2 linked regions of the Macaca mulatta genome follow. The protein of the gene in region 2 binds, or shares a complex with, the protein of the main gene of each other region. Links are inferred from orthologs where the notes say so. Each region holds a gene or a part of one and is shown on either strand. Other genes may lie near its edges.

The links.
Region 1: the proteins of ZMYND8 (region 2) and DBN1 are in contact, whole or in part, in a crystal structure (PDB 5Y1Z), measured with the Homo sapiens proteins. The link is inferred for Macaca mulatta from reciprocal best matches to the Homo sapiens genes ZMYND8 and DBN1. Residues at the interface, in NP_001350670.1 of Homo sapiens: Gln167, Pro168, Gly169, Thr170, Gln236, Ile237, Val240, Lys243, Ile244, His247, Trp269, Leu285, Gly287, Phe288, Phe307, Gly309, Gln310, His311, Asp312, Ala314, Thr335, Lys336, Ser337, Ile338; in NP_004386.3 of Homo sapiens: Met1, Ala2, Phe6, Ser7, Arg10, Leu11, Leu14, Tyr17, Glu18, Asp92, Ala93, Cys96, Ala97, Ala99, Ser100, Lys104, Glu107, Phe108, Gln110.

The regions. Positions count from the first base shown.
Region 1 is NC_133411.1:186,448,058-186,457,443, forward strand, and holds the start of DBN1 (drebrin), read right to left. Parts: upstream 9,328-9,386; 5' UTR 9,215-9,327; coding exon 9,129-9,214; intron 8,724-9,128; exon of another isoform or gene 8,469-8,723; intron 4,651-8,468; coding exon 4,595-4,650; intron 3,975-4,594; coding exon 3,862-3,974; intron 3,690-3,861; coding exon 3,615-3,689; coding exon of another isoform or gene 3,500-3,614; coding exon 3,353-3,499; intron 3,205-3,352; coding exon 3,127-3,204; intron 2,935-3,126; coding exon 2,783-2,934; intron 2,715-2,782; coding exon 2,651-2,714; intron 1-2,650. UniProt on the Homo sapiens protein: Actin cytoskeleton-organizing protein that plays a role in the formation of cell projections. Required for actin polymerization at immunological synapses (IS) and for the recruitment of the chemokine receptor CXCR4 to IS.
Region 2 is NC_133415.1:100,156,642-100,166,613, reverse strand, and holds the start of ZMYND8 (MYND-type zinc finger-containing chromatin reader ZMYND8), read left to right. Parts: upstream 1-3,925; 5' UTR 3,926-3,985; coding exon 3,986-3,999; intron 4,000-5,141; exon of another isoform or gene 5,142-5,212; intron 5,213-8,919; exon of another isoform or gene 8,920-8,959; intron 8,960-9,972. UniProt on the Homo sapiens protein: Chromatin reader that recognizes dual histone modifications such as histone H3.1 dimethylated at 'Lys-36' and histone H4 acetylated at 'Lys-16' (H3.1K36me2-H4K16ac) and histone H3 methylated at 'Lys-4' and histone H4 acetylated at 'Lys-14' (H3K4me1-H3K14ac).

The sequences.
Region 1 (9,386 bases), on a different chromosome or scaffold from region 2:
ATAAATAAATCAATAAAAATAAAATTTAAAAAATAAATAAACTTTATCGGGCAGGGCACAGTGGCTCACGCCTGTAATTCCAGGACTTCGGGAGGCTGAGGCAGGTGGATCACGAGGTCAGGAGTTCGAGACCAGTCCGACCAACATGGTGAAACCCTGTCTCTACCAAAAATACAAAAATTAGCTGGGCATGGGGGTGCATGCCTGTAATCCCAGCTACTCAGGAGGCTGAGGCAAGAGGATCGCTTGAACCCAGGAGGCAGAGGTTGCAGTGAGCTGAGATCGTGCCACTGCACTCCAGCCTGGGCGACAGAGTAAGACTCCGTTTCAAAAAAATTAAAAAATAATAAATATTTATTTATTAACTTGGCTGGGCACGGTGGCTCCGCCTGTAGTCCCAGCACTTTGGGAGGCCGAGGCGGGTGGATCACGAGGACAAGAGATCGAGACTATCCTGGCCAACATGGTGAAACCCCGTCTCTACTATAGATACAAAAAAAAAAAAAAAAAAAAGGAATAAACTTTATCCGCTGGGTGCAGTGGCTCATGCCTGTAATCCCAGCACTTTGTGAGGCCGAGATGGATCACCTGAGGTCAGGAGTTCGAGATCAGCCTGGCCAACAAGGTGAAACCCCATTTCTACTAAAAATACAAAAATTAGCCGGGCGTGGTGGTGGGTGCCTGTAATCCCAGCTACTTGGGAGGCTGAGGCAGGAAAATCACTTAAACCTGGGAGGCAGGCCAGGCGCAGTGGCTCATGCCTGTAATCCCAGCACTTTAGGTGGCTGAGGTGGGTGGGTCACGAGGTCAGGAGATCGAGACCATCCTGGCTAACACAGTGAAACCCCGTCTCTACTAAAAATACAAAAAAATTAGCCAGGCATGGTGGCAGGGGACTATAGTCCCAGCTACTTGGAGGCTGAGGCAGGAGAATGGCGTGAACCTGGGAGGCGGAGCTTGCAGTGAGCTGAGATCGCACCACTACACTCCAGCCTGGGCAATAGAGCGAGACTCCATCTCAAAAAATAAATAAATAAATAACCCTCACTCTGAAAGGATAAAGAAAATGTGGTATATCCATACAATAGAATATGATTCAGCCTTCAAAAGGAAGGAAATTCTGACGCATGCTACAACATGGATGAACCTTAAGGACATCATGCTAAGTGAAATAAGCCACACGCACAAGGACAAACACTGTGTGATTCCACTGATAGGCGGTCTCCAGAGTAGTCAACTTCATAGAGACAGAAAGTGGAATGGTGGCTGCCAGGAGCTGGCCAGTGGGGAAGGGCAGAATTTGTGTTAAATGAACAGTGGTGGTGGTTATCCAACAATATGAATGAATTTAATGCCACTTAATGAAATGCAGATTTTAAAATGACTGAAATGGTACATTTTATGTATTTTGCCACAATTAAAGCAAATACATGTGGCCAGGCGCAGTGGCTCACGCCTGTAATCCCAGCATTTTGGGAGGCCGAGGCAGGCAGATCAACTAAGGTCAGGAGTTCAAGACCAGCCTGGCCAACATGGTGAAACCCTGTCTCTACAAAAACACAAAAATTAGCTGGGCATGATGGTGTGCACCTGTAATCCCAGCTACTCAGGAGGCTGAGGGAGAGAATAGCTCGAACCCGGGAGGCGGAGGTTGCAGTGAGCCAAGATCATGCCACTGCACTCCATCCTGGGTGACAGAGTGAGACTCCATCTCAAAAAAAAAAAAACAAAACAAAAAAATAAAACAAAACATGAATCAGCTTATGAAAATAAGATCTTACCCAGCTTGTTCTCCACCATGTTCTGTATGTGGCAGGTGGCAAGTGTGTGTTGAATGAATGACACTGGAGCTTACCAGCCAGCCACACATTGTCCCCATCCCATCCAAGGGCCGATGTGACTGGAGTGACTTAATGCTGGTGCCTGCAGGACTGTCTTGCCTCCTCTCTCTCAGCCTCCTGTGGGTGACTCTGGAGCCCGTTTCAGTCCCCACAGCCCTGCACCTGCCCATCACAGTCCCAGTCCAGATGAGTATGAACCCACCTCCCTTCCTGAACTGAGCCACGCTCAGTCCTGAATGACATTAGCTATTTCCAAAACACTAAATTCAAAGCATGAAGATGTGACTCTGCTGTAATTTTCAGGGACCAATCCATAGGACCTACACGCAATTCCCAATGTCTGGAGATTCAGACGGGACCCCTGGAACAAAGAGGCTGCTCCCAAGGAGACGCAGCACACTGGCTACGGATGCTCGGCACTGGCCCAGGCTCCCCCATGCCGCCTGCCTCACTCCTGTGGCGGGACCAGGCCTGGTGGCCCCTCAGAGTGCAGGAACAGTGTCTAATCTGCCAAGAGACCCCAGGGGAGGGGAGGGGGAGCCTGGTCAGTGAGGGTCTGGGTCTAGATGGATGTTCTCTTCCAATCTAGAGCACAAGCTTCTCCAAAGTAGTCTTTTTCCACAGCCAGAGGCCAGAGCCCCACGTGATGAGGTGCCAGGCCTGATGCTCCATGGCACCCCGTGCCCATGCACGTCCCCAGAACAGCCACCACTGTCTCCCAGCCACTGATCTCCCCACAAGGCCCAGGAGCACAGGGACCATTCTCACTTCCCTGACCCAGAGACCGGGAGCCTTGGCCAAGAACTTACAAAGATAGACTGCTCCTTCAACCGCCTCTTGGCCTCTTCCGCTTCTAAAGTCTGCTGTTTCCTCCTGGAACGATAAGCAGCCTCAGGGTGCGCCCGGGGGACCCTGGAGCGCTGCCGGGCGGGCGGGCTCACCTGTGCTCCTCGATCTGCTGCTCCCGCTCCCGGTAGCGCCGCTCACGCTCCTCTTGCTCCTGCCGCTCCTGCTCCATCCGCTCCTGCTCAAACCTGAGCCTCTCATCCAGGGCCTTCTTCCTCTCCTCCTCCTTCCGCAGCTCTTCTTCCTTCTGCGAGCCCCGGTGCGAGCAAGGGTAGGCCCTGAGCCTGGGCACCTGAACCCTGTCCCTCTGGCCCCTCCCTAACCCAGGGCTGGGGGCGGGGCACGTGGCATGGGCCATGCCACTGCAGTGAGGGACTCAGACCTGCCCCATGGGGTCCACGAGGGGCGGCTCAGCCAGGCCAGGCTCAGGGTTCCATACCTTGGCCTGCTCCCAGAACTGCTCTCGGTTAATCCGCTTCATTTCCACAGCTGCATCTGTCTTCTGGTAGGTGGTGCCCTGCGGTGTCGAAGGACCCAGCGTGGGCAGGCTGAATGCCCCAGGAGCCCCCCACACCTAAAGGGTGAGGGCTAAGAGGGACCGGGCAGGCCAGACTCGAGCACCAGGCCACACAGGCAGAGTCCACGGGTGCCAAACACACACTAACCACGGGCTCTGCGTTCTCATCCTCTCGCAGCCGCAGCCGATGCAGCACGGGGCTGGAGAGCCGCGCTAGCCCGTTGGAGAGCCGCTGCCCGATGGCACCCGCGTCTATGTCTTCCACGCTGCTGGCGTTCACGATCACGTCGACGCCCTTCCACAAGAAGATGGCAGTGCTCAGGTGGCACCATCCTCCCGCCATCACCACCCCAGCACACAGACCCTGGTGGCTGTCCCCACCCCTAAGAGCCCTGGCCCCCGACACACACCTGGAAGAACTCAGCCACCTTAGCCACATGGCTGGCACAAGCGCACTTGCGGGCATCAGGCACATCTTCACCCACCTGCAAAGTACCCAGCAAAGAGGCGGTCGGGAAAGGACAAGGGGGGGCCCTACATGATAGGGTGCATCTTCCCCGGAACTGGTGGGGTTCCCTCTCCATGGGTGTCAGAGGGCCGACGGGCAGGGCACCTGCTCTGGGCCTTCAGCTCCCGTCCCCAGCCCCGGCCGCATACCCAGTTGATGAGCACGTATTTTGGCAGAGCAGCTTGGGAGTCCTTGACGCTGCAGAAGCCGTACATCACCTTCTGGTTCTCAAAGTGTCCCGAAAGCTCCTGCAAGCCCCCTTCTGGGGTAACCAGGAGAGCGTCAGGTGTCTCTGCCTCCTAAACCCTTCCCAAAAAGAGCCTGGAACTCAAAGGAAAGGCTCCTCCAGGGCTCCGCAGGCCCCCCAGGGGTCTTCTGGCCTCTGGGATGTGTGGGCCCCAGTTTGGTGTTGGTATGTGTGGGGGCGGCAGTGCACAGGGATGCGGCTTTGCCTATGACTCCTGCAGGCCCTGATTTGGGGTAGGACTGAGGAAGTGTTTGTTCTTCACACTCAGGTCTCATTCTTCACACATCATCATGTCTCACCAGGTGCCAGTGCCCAGAGGCACAATCAAGCCTTCTGGCTCTGGGGAAGGCAGTGAATAGGGCCCTTCCCCCAAAGCGTCCCAGCTGTGTGGCTTTAGGCAAGTCACTTTCCCTGTTGGAGGCTCAGCCTCCTAAGTCCAACATTCAACAAGCCTCAGAGCTTCCTCCCCACCCTGGGGACACAGGGATGACTGGAGGAAGGACACCAGCCAAATCCAGGCAAGTGTGGGGCTGCAGGGTGCAGGCGGGGAGGTGGCCTACAGTCAGGTGGGTGGGGAAGAAAACAACGGGAGGAGGGGGTGGAGAGGAAGGCGAAGGAATGGCTGGAATTCCTACCTCCTGATGCTGCAAGCTTGAGGTCATCCGAGCCATCCTCGTATGTGTACAGAGCCCTGGGGAGAGGGAGGGGTGGCTGTCAAACTGTCAGGGCCCAGGCCGCCAATTCTGGGTGGGGACGGCTCTGGGGAGGGATAGGGGACATGGAGGGGGTAGGACACGAACAGGGAGGGCTCCTGCTGTAGCCATGACAACAGGGCCAGGCACTGGTTCAGGCGGGAGCCCAGCAGGGTGCCGCTGGAGGCCGGGGTCAGGCGGGGCACAGGCAGTGAGGGGAGAAATTGCTGGCTGGTCGAGCTCAGTGCACAGCATCCCGGCCCTGGCCCTGGCAGCCTACAACCCAGTGGAGCGGGTGTGTGATGGAGATTCCAAGGCGACGGTTCCTTGGTTACTGTTCCCTGGCTACCACAATCCTCATCCCCCATTGGCTAGTGCCAGGAACTTACCTGGCACGTGCCTTGGTCCCCGCTGCCCCTCCCCCGGGGAGGGAGGAGGAGAAGAGAGAACCTGGTGCTCCTACAGCTCTGGGCATCCCCCGGTAACCATGGCAACCCTGCAATTGGCACACGACTGGCCCACCCCAACTGCATTCTCCTTGAACACAAAGGACCCTGGGGACCCGCCCTCAGCCTCAATCTCCGCCTCTCTGAAATGGGGATGAGGTCACTGCAGTCACTCTCGCCCAGACTCTGGCCCCAGGGTGGCCATGCGTGAGCTCCAGGCCTTCCAGCCCCTAGGCTGCCTCAGCCCTGGCTGAGGCCTTCTGAGACTGCTGGCCTTTCCTTCCGCCTGAGCTTCAACAGAAAGCTGACCTGGCGGCCTTCCTCCTCCTCCTCCTCCCCAGCTTTGTGTGCCCTGGCTCCTTCTGATAGGCTGTGGTGACAGAGCATCCATTTCACGGAAGGGAATGCAGAGATGCCTCCCCCATCACCCCATGCAGGCCCAGGCTGAGGACCTTCTGGGAGGGAGGAGAGCCGGGCCTAGGAGGAAGGGCCTTGTCCCTGAGGTTTGAAAGGGCTCAACCCCTTCTCCAAACTCCTATTCCCACGTGCCAAGGCAGGAGGCTGGGGCTGTGAGGAGGGGAGGCAGTAAGGGAGGGCAAAGGGGAAGAGAAAGAGGAGGGGAGAAGCAGAGGGAGAAACAGGGAGAGGAGGAAAAAGAGAAAGGACAGAAGTGAAGGGACAAAGGAAATGAAGGCGGGAGGGACGGAGGGGACATCTTAAGAGGTTGTGGCCAGGGCCAAATGGCCCCAGCCCCTCCCCTTCCTGAATTCCCCACTTCCTACCTCCAGGAAGGAACACAGGTGGGCTGGGAGGCTGGGAGTTCCTGGTCCAACTGTTACCCCCAGCTCCAGCCTGACCCTGACAGCTGCTCCCAGCACAGCTGGCCCACCACCTGTTCTGCTGCCCTAACCCACCACGGGAACAAAGGGCCCTGAGAGAAGCAGGCTCTGTCCCTCTCCATGCACAGATGAGAAACTGAGGCAGAGCCCAGGGACCCTAGTTCCTAGAGACTGCTCTAGACATCAAGCGTCCCTGAGAGGACCTGTCTTGGCCTGCCCAGGCTCCCTGGGGCGCCTTCCATCCTCAGCCCCTGCCTACCCACCTCCGGCCACCTTTTCCTGCTCCAGCGACAGCCCTTCTCCAGCAGAAACCATACCCCAGTTCAAACCCTCCAGCCTGCCTTTCCATCAGACTGCCCTGTCCACACCACACACTTGGGCCACACTGGACGGCTCCCTGACCCAGGCAGGGTTCTGGACAGGGCTCACCCTGGAGCCTCTGCCTATGTTGTTCTCTTCACATGGAAGGCAAGACCTGCTCCTCTACCCCACGCTTATTCCCAGTGGAATCCTCCCGTTCTTCAGAGCCCAGTGCTGGCTGCTGGCCCCCGGCAGCCTCCCCTGAGCTGCCCCTCCCAGAGCACCCACCACATCCCAGCAGGAATACAAAGACCAGTGCTTCTCAAACACATCAGAGGCATCCCGAGCCTGGTGCTGCACCAGGTGGAAGCTGGTGAAACCACAGGGAATCAGGATGGGGTAGAGGACCCCTACATATCTTACCAGCTCCAACTCCTAGAGACAGACACTGCCCCCAACTGTAAGCCTCCTGAAGGCAGGAACGCTGACTCAGTCAATCAGCACATCCTGCTCTCTGGGTCCTGGGGTCCAGCACACCGCACACCATAAGCATGTGTAATATTGACACCAACTTAGAAGCCATCTAGCCAGAGATACTGAACTAGTGTGAGATGGGAGCTGGAATGTGGCAGTTCCAGAGACCCTCGGGTGAGCTGGGGTTGGGGGGTGAGGGCAGGTGGACCCCTCAGGACCATCACTCTCAGGATGGTGGTGCTAGAAAGTCCTTCAGTATCTGAGGTAGGGCTGGGCCCAATCCTTTTTCTTTCCAAGAGGACCAGGAACTTGTATATGATCACAGTGAGTCATATCACAACCAGGACAACAGCGGCCCCTCCCACTATACAACCTCATTTCCTGGGTCCCCTGCTCCCTGTGCCAGAGTAGTGGTCCACTTCAGAGGCCCTGCCACCTAGAGTGAACTCCCCCCCAACCACCCCTCCCCATTGGAAGCAAGGTAAGCGGGGGCAGACAGCCATTTACCCGACACCCCTCCCTCTGGACCTACGGGCAGCGTCTGCCTCTGAGTCTTCAGACCTCACTGCACCCCTGGTTCCATGCTGGGCACTGGGGTATTCATATCCTCTTGTGCAGAAAGTGATCCTCACACCCCTTTTTCAAAATGTGATCTGGGCCCGTAGTGAACAAATATGTGCATGTGTGCATCTGTGTGTCCCACACACAACCCAGATGGGGGGTGACGCACACCAGTGATGAATAACTCGCTTTGGCCACATGGATGCTGCTGGGGTGGGGGGGGCAGGCCTCTGTTGAGCAGGATGTTGAGCAACAGGGGTTCTGTGGCCCTGGCAATAGGCCACCAGGGCTATGCTTTTAGGAGAAAATGGGGTGGTGGCAGACAACACCCCTCCAGGCTGGAGGGCGAAGGAGGTGTTCTGGGGTGAGCTGTGCCTCTCCCCAGGCGGGGCCTTACCCTGAAGCCAGCTCCTACACCAGGCCAAGCCGGCCACTTGCCCAGAGCTCCTCCCATGATCTCAGCCCCCTGGGGCAGGGCTGGGACAATGGGTGGGCCGCCTGCCTGCTGAGTCTGTGCTGGCCTCTCCTGTGACTGACCTGCAGGACACGAGAGCTTGTCTCTCTCGCGTCCATCCCTCCAGGCCTGGCTGCTGGCCAGTGCTGCAGTACCATGCCATGGATGCCCAGCCATCTCATCCTCTCCTCCAGGAGCCCCCAGGTCAGAGTCTCCACCTGACTGCCCGCCCAGTGTGTGGGTGAGGCCAGCCCAAGCGGGGTCCTTCAGACCCGCCCTCCTCTTTGCCTCAGTTTCCTCAAGAAGAGCCTGTTCCCATCTGCCAGCGGGGAGAGGAGGCCTAGGAACCAGATGGGCACCTTCCCCAAGAGTATTACGGGGTGGGGCGGGGAGGAAGAGGATTCCAGGATGGGGCAGTGAGGAACCCCTCGGTTTCTTCTTTCCGCCGCCAGCCAGCCCCAGAGCAGGTGGTCCATCCCCTCCCCCAGCTCAGGGGGAGACAGCAGTTGGGGGGCGGGGAGAGGGGCGGCCCAGCTCCTCCCCCATCAGGGACCGAGGGCCCCTTGGTAGGGGCCCGTGGATCTGTTCACCCCTTCAGCCCTCTTTCGGGGCTCCCTCCACACTTGTTCTCCAGAGGGCTTCCTCCCAGGGACCTCAGCTGGCGCCCTAGACAGGCAGCTCAGTGCCCCCCAGCCAGCTGCCTAGTCCCCGCAGTCCCCTTCAGGTAGGGGAGGAGAGCTCACCCCTGCCTCCTCCGCGACCCGCGGCGGTAAGGGAGTCACTTCGCGGTCGCCATGTGGCAGCAAACATCCTTCCACCTCACTCCAGCCCAGGTTTCCGGGGGGAGGGCGGCCCACTCCGAGAGGCCCCCCGGTGGGCGGGGCGCCCGGCCCCCATCCCGCTCCGCTCCTCCCCCGCCCTCGCTTTCCTTTGTGCTGTGGCCGGGCCGGGATGAACCAGGCAGGCTGCGCTGGCTCCGCTAGCTCGGTCCCCGCCCCGTCCCCACCCGGACCTCGCCCGCTCGAAGGTGGCGAAGGTGCCCTTGGCCGCCCCGTGCACACCTGTCCCCCGGGCCCGGGGGTAGGGTGGGGGATGGGCTCCCGCAGGGCCACGCGGCCCTGGGCCCCACATCGGGACCCCGCGCCTCCGGGCCGCGTCCGGCCGCCGCTCCCACCGCGCGCCTGGGGCCGCCTCCGGGCACTTGGGACCCGGCAGTGCCCCGCCTGGCCCGCCGGCCCCTCCCCCGGCGCGCACAAAGGCAGCCCCTCCCGGCCCTCCCGGCCCGCTGCACCATTTCGGGGTCCCCCTCCCTTCCCGGCGGCGGGGCGGCGGGGCGGGAGAGAAACAAAGGCGCGGCGGCGGCGCGGGGACAAAGGGGCCGGGGGCGGGGGCGGGGGGCTCACCAGTCGGCCGCGCTCTCCTCTCGGATCACCTCCTCGTACGCCGCCAGCAGCTCCAGGCGGTGGCCGCTGAAGCTGACGCCGGCCATGCTTCGGGCCGGACCGGGCCGAACGGACAGACGCGCGGACGGACGGGCGGACGGAGGAGGAGGGAGGGAAAGAGGGAGTCGCCGCCGCCGCCTCGGAGCCTCTGCAGCGTCGCGAGCCGAGCGAGCCAGCGGCCGGGGGAGGGGAGCCGGCCGGCGGGGGGCGGGGGGCGCT
Region 2 (9,972 bases):
GGGAGCTGGGGCCAGCCCTTCCTCTCCCTCGAGACCAGCATTGTTACTGTGACACTCTGCCTGGCTCCCTACAGCCTGATTCTGTACCCCGATCCTCTCTGTACCCTGGGAACATTAAGAGAGACATGTTTTAATCTATTTTTATTAGCTCATTGCTTATTAATATCACCAAGGAACCTGCTTGTTTAGGCCTGTGCTGGCTTTTCTAGCCAGAGGCAGAATGATTGGACTTTTGTCTTCACTTTCCTTAAAGGGCTGAAAGCCAGGGTTTCCCAACCTTGGACATTTTGGATCAGATACTTCCTTGTTGTGGGGGGCTGGTCCTGTGTACCATAGATGTTTTGCATCATCCCCGGCCTCTACCCACTAGATACCAGCAATACAACCTCCCTAGCTGTGACAACCCACATGTCTCCAGGCACTGCCAAATGTCCCCTGGAGGGCAAAACCCCCCATGGTTGAGAACCACTGGTTTCATGGAATATAAAAGCCTAATTTTAGAGATGGCAAAGTGTTCTCCCTTGACATCTTGCATCTTGCTGGAGGTTGGGAGGGCGAGGGTCGCTTCCCCTGGGCCTCAGTCTGTAATGAGGGGCATTTGAATAAGTCTAATCTAAAAGTTCCCTTCAGCGCCATCATTCAGTACTGAAAACCCACCTCAATAGGGTTGGTCTTCTTCAGGTTGCAGCACTGAGTTGTGATCACGCCACTGCACTCCAGCCTGGGCAACAGAGCGAGACACTGTATCGAAAAACAAACAAAACTGGTCTACCTCCTAAAATAAAACACAGATTATGCAGTTGCTGTTGGTAGGTTTTAGCCTCATTGTTTCTGCTGTGCTCGGTTCAGCTTTGCTTTTGCTCCTTTCTTTAGAGGCAGGTGAAAGTACAGAGTTTAGGGATGTGAAGTGCTAACGGGGATGGACGTCTGATCTCTGGCACTTCCCAGCTGTGTGACCTTGGGCAGCTCACTTCACCTCTCTGGGCTTAGTTCCAGGTTTCTAACAATGTCATCTACTTCAGGAATCAGTCTATGTAAAGCACTAATTTAGAAGTAGCTGCTGGGATACTCACTGCAGTGGGGCTTTAAGAGGAGCTGCTGAATGGATTTCTAGATTGAGACCTGCAACATTTGGTTTTATTTCCTGCTTATCAGCCACATTCCATCAAGCCCAGGACCAGCCCTTCGTAGGCCTCTGCCCCAGGCTTTCTTTTCAATCTGTGTTCCTCCCAGGATTCCATCTGCCACCATACTTTTGTGTCTGTCCCCAGTCGAATTACTGTTTTCCAGATAACCTCAGACCTACCCGAATGCCAACAGCATTCCTCAAACAGAGCAGAGCTGCCAGAATAAGCCAGCAGCTTCCTGCTCTTTGCCCCAGAAAACATTTCAAGTGATCAAGTGATCAGAGAGAGGGAGGGAGGCGGGGAGGATGCTGTAGCTGCTTATGCAACAAGCTTTAATCCCAGGTTAAAATCCACCACGCACACCAGCGGCATATTTTATTTCCTCATTGGTTCGTGGAATTAGCCGCATGCCAGATCTGCCACCAACCCCACAGTCCTGTTTGTTCCCCTCAAAGCAGCACCCGCAGAAACAAACAGCATTCCATATGGGATGGTGGTGGAGGGCCGCTGCCCACACAGCTAGGAGGGCGAGCACCGAGCACGCACTGCTTCACTGTGGCCTCCACCTCTCGCCTCCTCCCATTTGGTCTCCCCATGCAGCTTTCTACCTCCAGGAAGAGCAGGCCCCTCCCTTCTGGTGAGGCCCAGGCCTGCTGTCCTGAGCGCTGGAGCTTTGTCAGGTTGGGTGGCCATGGAACTGTCCCTCCCTGCAGCTTGGCCTCAGCAGTCTAAAACAGTAACAACAGCAACATCCTGTCCGTTTTCATAAAGCCTGGGTCCTGCCCTGCAGTACAGCGAGTTTCAATTCCCAGCTCGTTCCTGAGCCTGTTTGATAGGAGATTCCCGGCCAGGAAGAATTTATGTACAAGCAGTGGGCATCTGTTGTCCATGTGGGGGTTGGAAGGGCAGGGAAAGCAAGCCATCAGCTCTTCGTTTTCTTTGTGGGAACCGTGTGGGACAAGAAAGCCCACAAGTCCTAATTTTAGGAGGAGAGGGGAGACTTTATTGCTCCAGAGTTATGCCTCCTGGCATATGGCTGCGTTAACTCTGGAAGCTTTCTCCAGCCTCTAAAGAATGGTGTTTATTTAGCTTCTGTGGTTCCAGCTTGCTGTTTTAAAAAATCCTGTTAATTAAGCACCTTGTCATTTAAAATGCTGAAGAAGGAAAGCAAGCAAGAAAACTTGGACATTTTAAGGTCCTTTTCGATCTCCGGGTACGGACCAACTGCAGAGGCAGCTTTAGGGAGGAGACCGGCAAAGACCTCCTAACGCAATTGAAGTGGGTAGAATGATAAGCAGCTCTGAACAACCAGTTAATATTTTACTGGGGAGTGGTGCCAGAGATGGGGGTGGGGGGGCTGCCAAATGGAGGGCTGTGTGTGAAATCGCTGCTCCATCTGCCTTGGGGGACGAAAAGAAGCCGTTCTCTGTGCAAATAAATGGAAGCAAGAATCCTTAGGAAGCCCAGGGGATTTGTCTGCCCACCGAGGAGGGCCCAACTCCCCCAGGCACACACATACAGGGATGATTGTGGCAGGAAGGGCTGACCTACGGGGGTAGGCCTGACGCATAATGGGGGCTCTTGTTTCCGGGCTGAGCGTGCCATCTTTCTGTCTCCCTCTGGATTGAAATGGCTTCTCAGCCCGAGAGGCACTGCCTGTGCCCTGGATTCACAAGGTACACGCCTCCCTGGGAAGCAAAGGCTGAGAGACTGCGGCTCTCTCTCTCTCTCTCTCTGCATCTGCCGGGAGAGCTGCAGCTGGTATTTTTCCACAGGCCTTTGCTGCGATCTCAAGGCCTAGTTTTTCCCAGCCAGGCCCGGAGTCCGAGAGAGGGTTAACAGGCAGGAAGCCGAAGGCATCGCAGGCTAATACGGAAGTCAGATTTGTGTTTAACTGACAGGTTTAGCAGGCCTCGGCCGTGGGGGAGGGGCCGGGAGGCAAGGGAAGTTTGTAGATCCAGGCATGTGGCCTGCGAGGAGGGCTTTGGGTTTTTCTTAGGGTAAGGACGGAGAGGGGTCCCCCTTGGCATCGTGGCAGGGAGGCAGGAACCCACGTTGATTTTGCACGCAGGACTGGCTAAGCAGGGCGAGAGGCCCACGGCTCTCTGGCCTGCCTTGCAAGGAGGCATGGGGACAATGACTATGCAAACTTGACCACTCTGCTCCCCTCCTCCCCTCAGCAGCTACTCCTCGCTCCTCTGAGAAGCCAGGGCTGCTCTCTGCTGATTTTTCGTGGCTCCCCCGGTCTGCCTGCTTCCCCAGCTCCTCAGAGGCCTGCCTCAAGCCCCTTTTTCTGGCCCCCTTGGCTGTTTCCGTGGGACTCCCCACTCCCCAGCTTCCCCTTCCCCTTGGAGAGCCACCCTGCTGGACTGTTCTAGAAAACGGCTGGCCTTCCTCCCTGGACAAGGGCCGTTTCTCTGGGGGCAGGTGAGGGTGAGCCGTTCCAGCCCACTCCAAGAAACTCCCTTCCCAGGGGCCTCCAGTCCTCAGGCTTCCCTGGAGCAGGTCAGGCTGGCTGCCCTGGCCGGCCCGTGCCGGGAAATCTAGCCACGGTGCAGGAGAAGTGCGTGTGGGGGCCCCTTTCCCAAGTTTTTCTTGCTGCAAAAGGCCTAGCTTAGCCTGTCTTTTTCTATGCACAGGATGGCTCTTGCTCACCCGAGCCTCACAAAGATAATCGCTCAGGAAGTGTTTCAGCCAATCCGGGGCGGCTTTACACTCCGATTTGCCAGGGCAGCCAATCGGGGATGAGCTTTTATTAGGCGGCCAGATCATCAGCCGAAGTGCCAAACCCTTTTTCTGTGAGAACTAGGAGCCTGTCCTCCATGTTTTATAAGTATTGACATTACACAGTGTTAACAATGCATCCACAGAGGTAAGCTCGACTTTTTAACCATCTTTTTTCCCCCTCCCTCTGAGACATCCGAATTGTGGGCGAGCAGTGTGATTTCTCTGTGGCTGGCCGTGCCACACTCACCCCCAGAGCACTTATGTTAACTTGGAACTGTTTAGAGAGAATTTTTTTGCTTTCTTGGGTCACATGGCTCAGTAGCCATTAGCCATAGCTTGATTTTGCAAACTGGCAAGGGCCTGGCACACCTTTCCTTCCACCAGGGCATGGTGTTTCTGGAAGAGTTTGAAGCTAGATCCTGGTATGCCAAAAAAGAAGCTTTTTTTTTTTTCTTCTTCTTCTTCTTCTTTTTTCTTTCCCTCTTCCCTCTCTCTTCCCCTCTCTCTCTCTGAGCAGTCCCCCCCCCCACCCCTGCACTATTGTCTTCTCTTTTGCCACATGCCCTGCTGGGGGAAGAAAATGGAAGGTAAGCAAACAGGCTCCTCTCCAAGGAGAGCTCATGGCAGACAGCAGAGCAGGCAAGTTTGCCTCTCCAAAGAGGTTCTGGGAAGGCTGGATAAGTTTTGACAAGAGAGGAGCGTGTTTGCAAAAGAATTGAACCCTCAGCAGAGCAGTGCTAAGGAGAGTCTAGCTCCTGGGGCCTAGGTGGGTGGTGGTGTCTGTACACGGTCTTCTCTTATTCTACAGAGCTTCTGCACTTGAAACTACATTGTTCAGCCTGTTTTCCTGACTTAGGTTGCTACAGAGTGTTCTGCAAGCCAGCCTACAGCCAGCAAATGTTTCTGAAAGTGTTTTCTAGGTTTTGGAGGAAGTTTTTGGAGTAGGGATGTGGACTGGGGGCTGTGGGGAGAGAGATCTTGGACAACATCCTGCAAAAAAAAAAAAAAAAAAAAAAGAAAAAATCTGCAAGGATTCTGAATCCCTTAGTTTTCTACTCTTGCATGATTTTCAAGGAACTAATGTTACCTTTTATCCTTGTTTTCATTTTCCTGTCCCTTTTATACATTGTATCCTCCTCTCTTCTCCTGTGTGATGGAGTGTAGAGGAAATAAAATCATGTCTGTGGCTCATGACAGCATTCCATATTCAGTTGTTGGGTTGTGTTGTTGTTGTGTGTTTTTAATAATACCATGTAACTGTTTAAAAAAATTTCCTTTTTGATCAAGTCCCAAATCTGCCAGCCTGTTCTCTCTTCCTAACTGTGGAAAAATGAGACGGTTGCTTGAACATTTGTTGGGTAAGTAAAGCAATCCATTTCCTCTGTGACCATGTTTGAAGAGTTTTGCGAACATTTGGGGTCTGTTTGTAATAGGGGGTCTTGGCTGCAGGAGTTGGGGGCTTCATTAGCAGGAACAAAATAAGGGCTTTTTAAAGAGTGTCTTGATTTTAGGTGACTGTTTGAATCCACTGTTTTTCCTGATAACCTGCAGCTAGGATTGAAGATTATACTTCCTGTTTACCCTGAGTCAGGGGAGAAGTGTTTAGTTCATTGTGACTTGACTCTAGACCTTTAATGGGGTTTGTTTGGATATTCAAACTGTGAGTAGGTGATGTGCTTGTGAAATGTAATGAAGCTGCTTGTTCTTAGAGTTGCAGAGCCCTAAAAACATTGGTGGGGCAGAAGCTGGTGGTGGTGGTGGTGGTGGTATGTGTGTGCTGGGGGGGGGGGTGGTGTCAGTGTGCTCATGCTTTAGGACTTATGTATAGTGCAAAATCTCATCTGCCACCAGACTGGGGTTGGATTCAGGACTCACTGACCAACACATTTTGGCCTTTTTTCAGGTCTCATCCACACATCTGTATGCATGCTGACCCCACATAAGATTTGTCACTTTTTACATTTCCCTTGACCTCTTAAGGCTGCAGCTAGAAGTTAAGTGGGAAAAGTAGAGTCTTGTTTAGCATTACCTTTAGAATTTCCCTAGAAGTTCAGTACGTAAATTTTCAGCTTGGAGACCAATCTGACATGACTGTAAATGCAGGAAATATATTCAATTGCTGTGTTATGTCAACTTTATGGAGTCAGTAATCTTTTTTCTTTCAAATGAGTGTCCAGTAGCCCACTTTCTGACACCAAATTGGAAAAAGGCTCATTTAATCAGGAGAAACGTTTCGTACCACATTCTAAGTTGAAAAAAGTCTGTGCAAGGCAGGCCAGCTTAGCTTCTTAGAGTAAAACTGCAGGCAGTTAATGATGTTACATACTTAAAACTGAACAGTGCCACTGCCCCAAACAAGTAAGTTTAGACACTCAGCTATTTTCTTTGTTCTTATCTCCTTGCTGTAAATGGAAATTACATATTGAGGTTCTTGTGGCCTCCCTAGAAGCAGTGTCTAATCATAAGACTCCTGGTTTGGTGCCTTCAACGTTTGCATAATACTGTGTTTGTTGGGCTGGAAGGGAACTTAAGGGCAAGGCGTTTGTCCTCTAAAAGCTTGCATTAAAATGGCTCCCACAGGTTTGGAGAGCCAAGATGTGTTCTCAGATGTACAGCCCCCAGCAAGTTGCCAACACTGGACCAAGCTAGCCACTTTTCCTCTGGTACTGTGACCCCTACCAAGCATGAGTCTGTAAAAAGTTAATTGCTTTCAAAGTAGCATTATTTTCCAGTTTCAGGAAAGGGGAAAAAAATGTCTGCATTGCAGCAGGACTAGGTAGGGACGGCAGTACTGGCTCCCAGAGCAGCCCAATGGGGTTCTTCTCCTCTAGCTTTTAAACCAATAGACTTGGAGGAAAGGTTAAAGATTGACAATTACAGTGGCCGAACTAAGAACAAGCCTTCTGGAAATTTCTACCATCTTTGTTCCTTTTAGGAAAAGCGGATCTGCCAAACAGAAGAGTCTCCTACCTTCCATTCCTAGGTCATCTCCCTTCCCTTCTTCCCCCCACAACCCCCCTTCTTTTTCTCATCAAGGTATAATGTTCTCTCTGCCACATTTGTAAATTGCAGAGGGAGGAACAGAATGTTGGGCTGTTTTCCTTTTTCCTTCTGCCTCCTCAGTCCCCAAAGAGGATACACAGCTGCAAGGAGCAAACACAGACACACTGAAGCTTTTGATTCCTCTTTTTTTTTCCTTCAAGACCCTCCAGGATGGGTTCACTTTCTGCTTTGGGAAATTAAGTGGCATTCACGTGGGGGAGGGGGAGTAACTGCTTTTATTAGCTCCAGAAAATGGTCAGTGTTCAGTCTGTAACTAGGAATTAATTATATATAATCACTCAGTAAACTTTCTACAGAGTTTTTCTAATTGCTGAGCCTGATCATAGTTAGCCCGTTGGCGCCAAGTCCAGTTACTTTTATAATTAACAGCTCAAAGATTTGAGTCAGAAAGAAACAATTGGGGGCCTCTTGGATTATAAATTAGGGATGAAAACAATAGCTTTTTTTCCTTTCTTTCTTGTAACCTCTTTTATTTTAAACAAAACATTCCCCCTTTTCTTTCCCTGGGAGAACCAGTGGGGAGACTGCATCAGGTCTTAAATATGAGGACGGGAGACACTTTTTAGGAAGTGGGGTGACAGTAACCTAGAAAACCCTGAGGCAAAGGTAGGTTTTTAAAAGTCCAGCCACTTCCAATGTGTGATGTCTTTGTTTCTTTTGCCCTCTTTCCCCTTCTCTCTCCTGTGGCAGAGGCAGCAGACATTTGTCAGCCTGGGAACCCTCAATCTGGCTTTGCCTCTGGTTGACTCTGGAAAGAAAGATACATTCAAAGGGGCCTTCGCTACTGAACAGCAGAGATTTAAAAAGGGAATATGTTTCGAAGCCCTTTGGTTACTCTTAAAATGCAAAATCTGAGCAAGGGTTCACCCTTGGCTCAGGTTGCTAAGATTATGGTTGCCCTCCCCCCTACTTCCCACTCTCCTTGCAGACAAACAAGCAGGCAGTGGCCATGCCAGCTCTGCAGCCAGTGTGCTGCCAGCCTGCCCCCCCCATCCCGATTACCTACCTACCGGCCGACGGGGGCCAATGGCCTGTCCTTGCCCTGGCATGGCCTTGGGCACTGTGCCCTCCTTTCTCCCCTGGAGCTAAAAAGCAGTCACCTTGAAACTCCTCACTCCCAGCACCAGAGGAGTTCTGAGGCCAATGCTCAGACCTGTAACAGTAAATGACGTTATCCACTCAGGCTGTTAGTTCGGCCTCTGAAAGCGGGTTTTGCAAAACCCATTGTTAATTCTCAGGCTCTGTTGGGGGTGGTCAGAAATCTAATTTGTGAGTATCCTGTGCATTGGATAAGGGAGTGTTTTCCTTGTGTTTCTCCTCTGCAGACTCGGATTGTCTTTCCTTGATGTTGACTGTCTTAGGACTGGCTGCTTCAGAGGGCTGGGTATTTGGTGGCTGTTTGCAAGCTTATAAACAGCCTTTTTATTTTACCTTGGCTGTAGACTGAGGTGCAGCCCTTTAGCTTGGCTTTTCAGATGCCTGCTGTCCTTGAAGCACTTTCATTTTACCTAGCACCTTTTTGGTATGGATGCAAAGCTGGTTTCTAATAGACTGAGAAGAGAAGGGGGACCGGGCTTCGTCCTCGCCTCCCCCCAGCCTGCTCCCTGGGAACATTTTTGTGTTTGCACAGACACCTGTCCGTCTGCAGTCTGTGCCACGGGGCTGCACAATTCCTAACCTTCTACCCACCTAATTCGAGGGCAAGGGGGCCTCATCACAGAGCCTCATGTTGAAAGCTCAGGATCTACAAGAGAAGGCTTTTCCTTAGGAACCTGTGACTTCACAAACTCTCCCTGTCATTGCAGAGTTTTTTTTTAAGCTTCTAAACGTTGGGTTGTTGGTGTCCTTTGGTTCAGCTTTTCCTAGTTCTGGTATTTAGGAAGGTGGCTTTGAAACTAGCAGGGCTGCTTAAACAAGAGCTACAGCTATTGAACAAACTGCTACCATTTTAGCTTCAACACAGGAATGAGGCAGTGTTGCCAGACGCCATTTTAAGAATCCTGCATAAATAGCTTAGCTACCGATGACTCTGCCTGTTTTAGGTGAGTGCTTATATAAAGCTGCTCTGCTAACCATTCCCCCCCACCCCAATTTCTTAAAAAATTAATTGCAGATTTAGGGAAGCATGGTTTTTAATTTTGATGTTCACTATTTTATAATCTAGAAGAGGAAGATGTTATGCCTTGGGGATTAAATATTTCTTACAGCCTGGACCATTTTGGTATTTTGAATGAAAGTAAAAACCTGGAAAAGTCCTTTCGAATGATGCATGATTCTTGAATTGCTGTGCGATGATCCTCATCTGTAGAACCAGAGTCTTGTGCATGTTGGTTATATATTCTAGATGGCTTAGATATTCTTCTTTAAAAGTCAAATAGTAGGGGCACTTGGGGAAAAGAAATATGTGGGCATTGTGTATCCAGGCATTTTTCTGTCAAAACTAGATGCTTGCTTTTTTCTCTCTCTTGGAAGTGTTGAGGAGATGAGATTCCTGGGAATTACGGACCATCCCTGAGTCCTCAGAATTAATAATCAGAAGGCTTAAAGCATCCTGGAGGTGCAGTAGTAGTTCATCTGCAACTTTTAATTGCTCTTTTTTCAGTGCATGCAGGTTAAGAAGTAAGCATAGGTTTTCTTGCTCAGGCATTGGGAAAGAAATCTTTTATTCTTTTTGGGATGGGATGGGGTGGTCTTGGTTATCTTTGCAGGTACTGTTATTTCTTTGAATTGCCTGAAATGTATCAGTTTGTGAAATCTACAGGCAAATGACTTGGGTAAATGTGAGTGTAAGAGGTGGTAGTGTATACAATGTATCTAACTAGTTGATGGTGTGTTTTCCTATTGGAGTGAGAAATTGTTTTTCAGCTAATTTTACCCTTTTTCTTTAGCGGGCCCCCAGTTTCCTCAACAGACCTTTAAAGGGAGAAAAGTAATGTCAGTTTGAAACAAGAGCTTGTTGTCCCATTGTTTTTGATTTAAATCATCAGGGTTGCTGGAAGCTAGCAGATATGGAAGGAAATAAGCTGTCTATGTTCTAAGACTTTAATGTATTAAT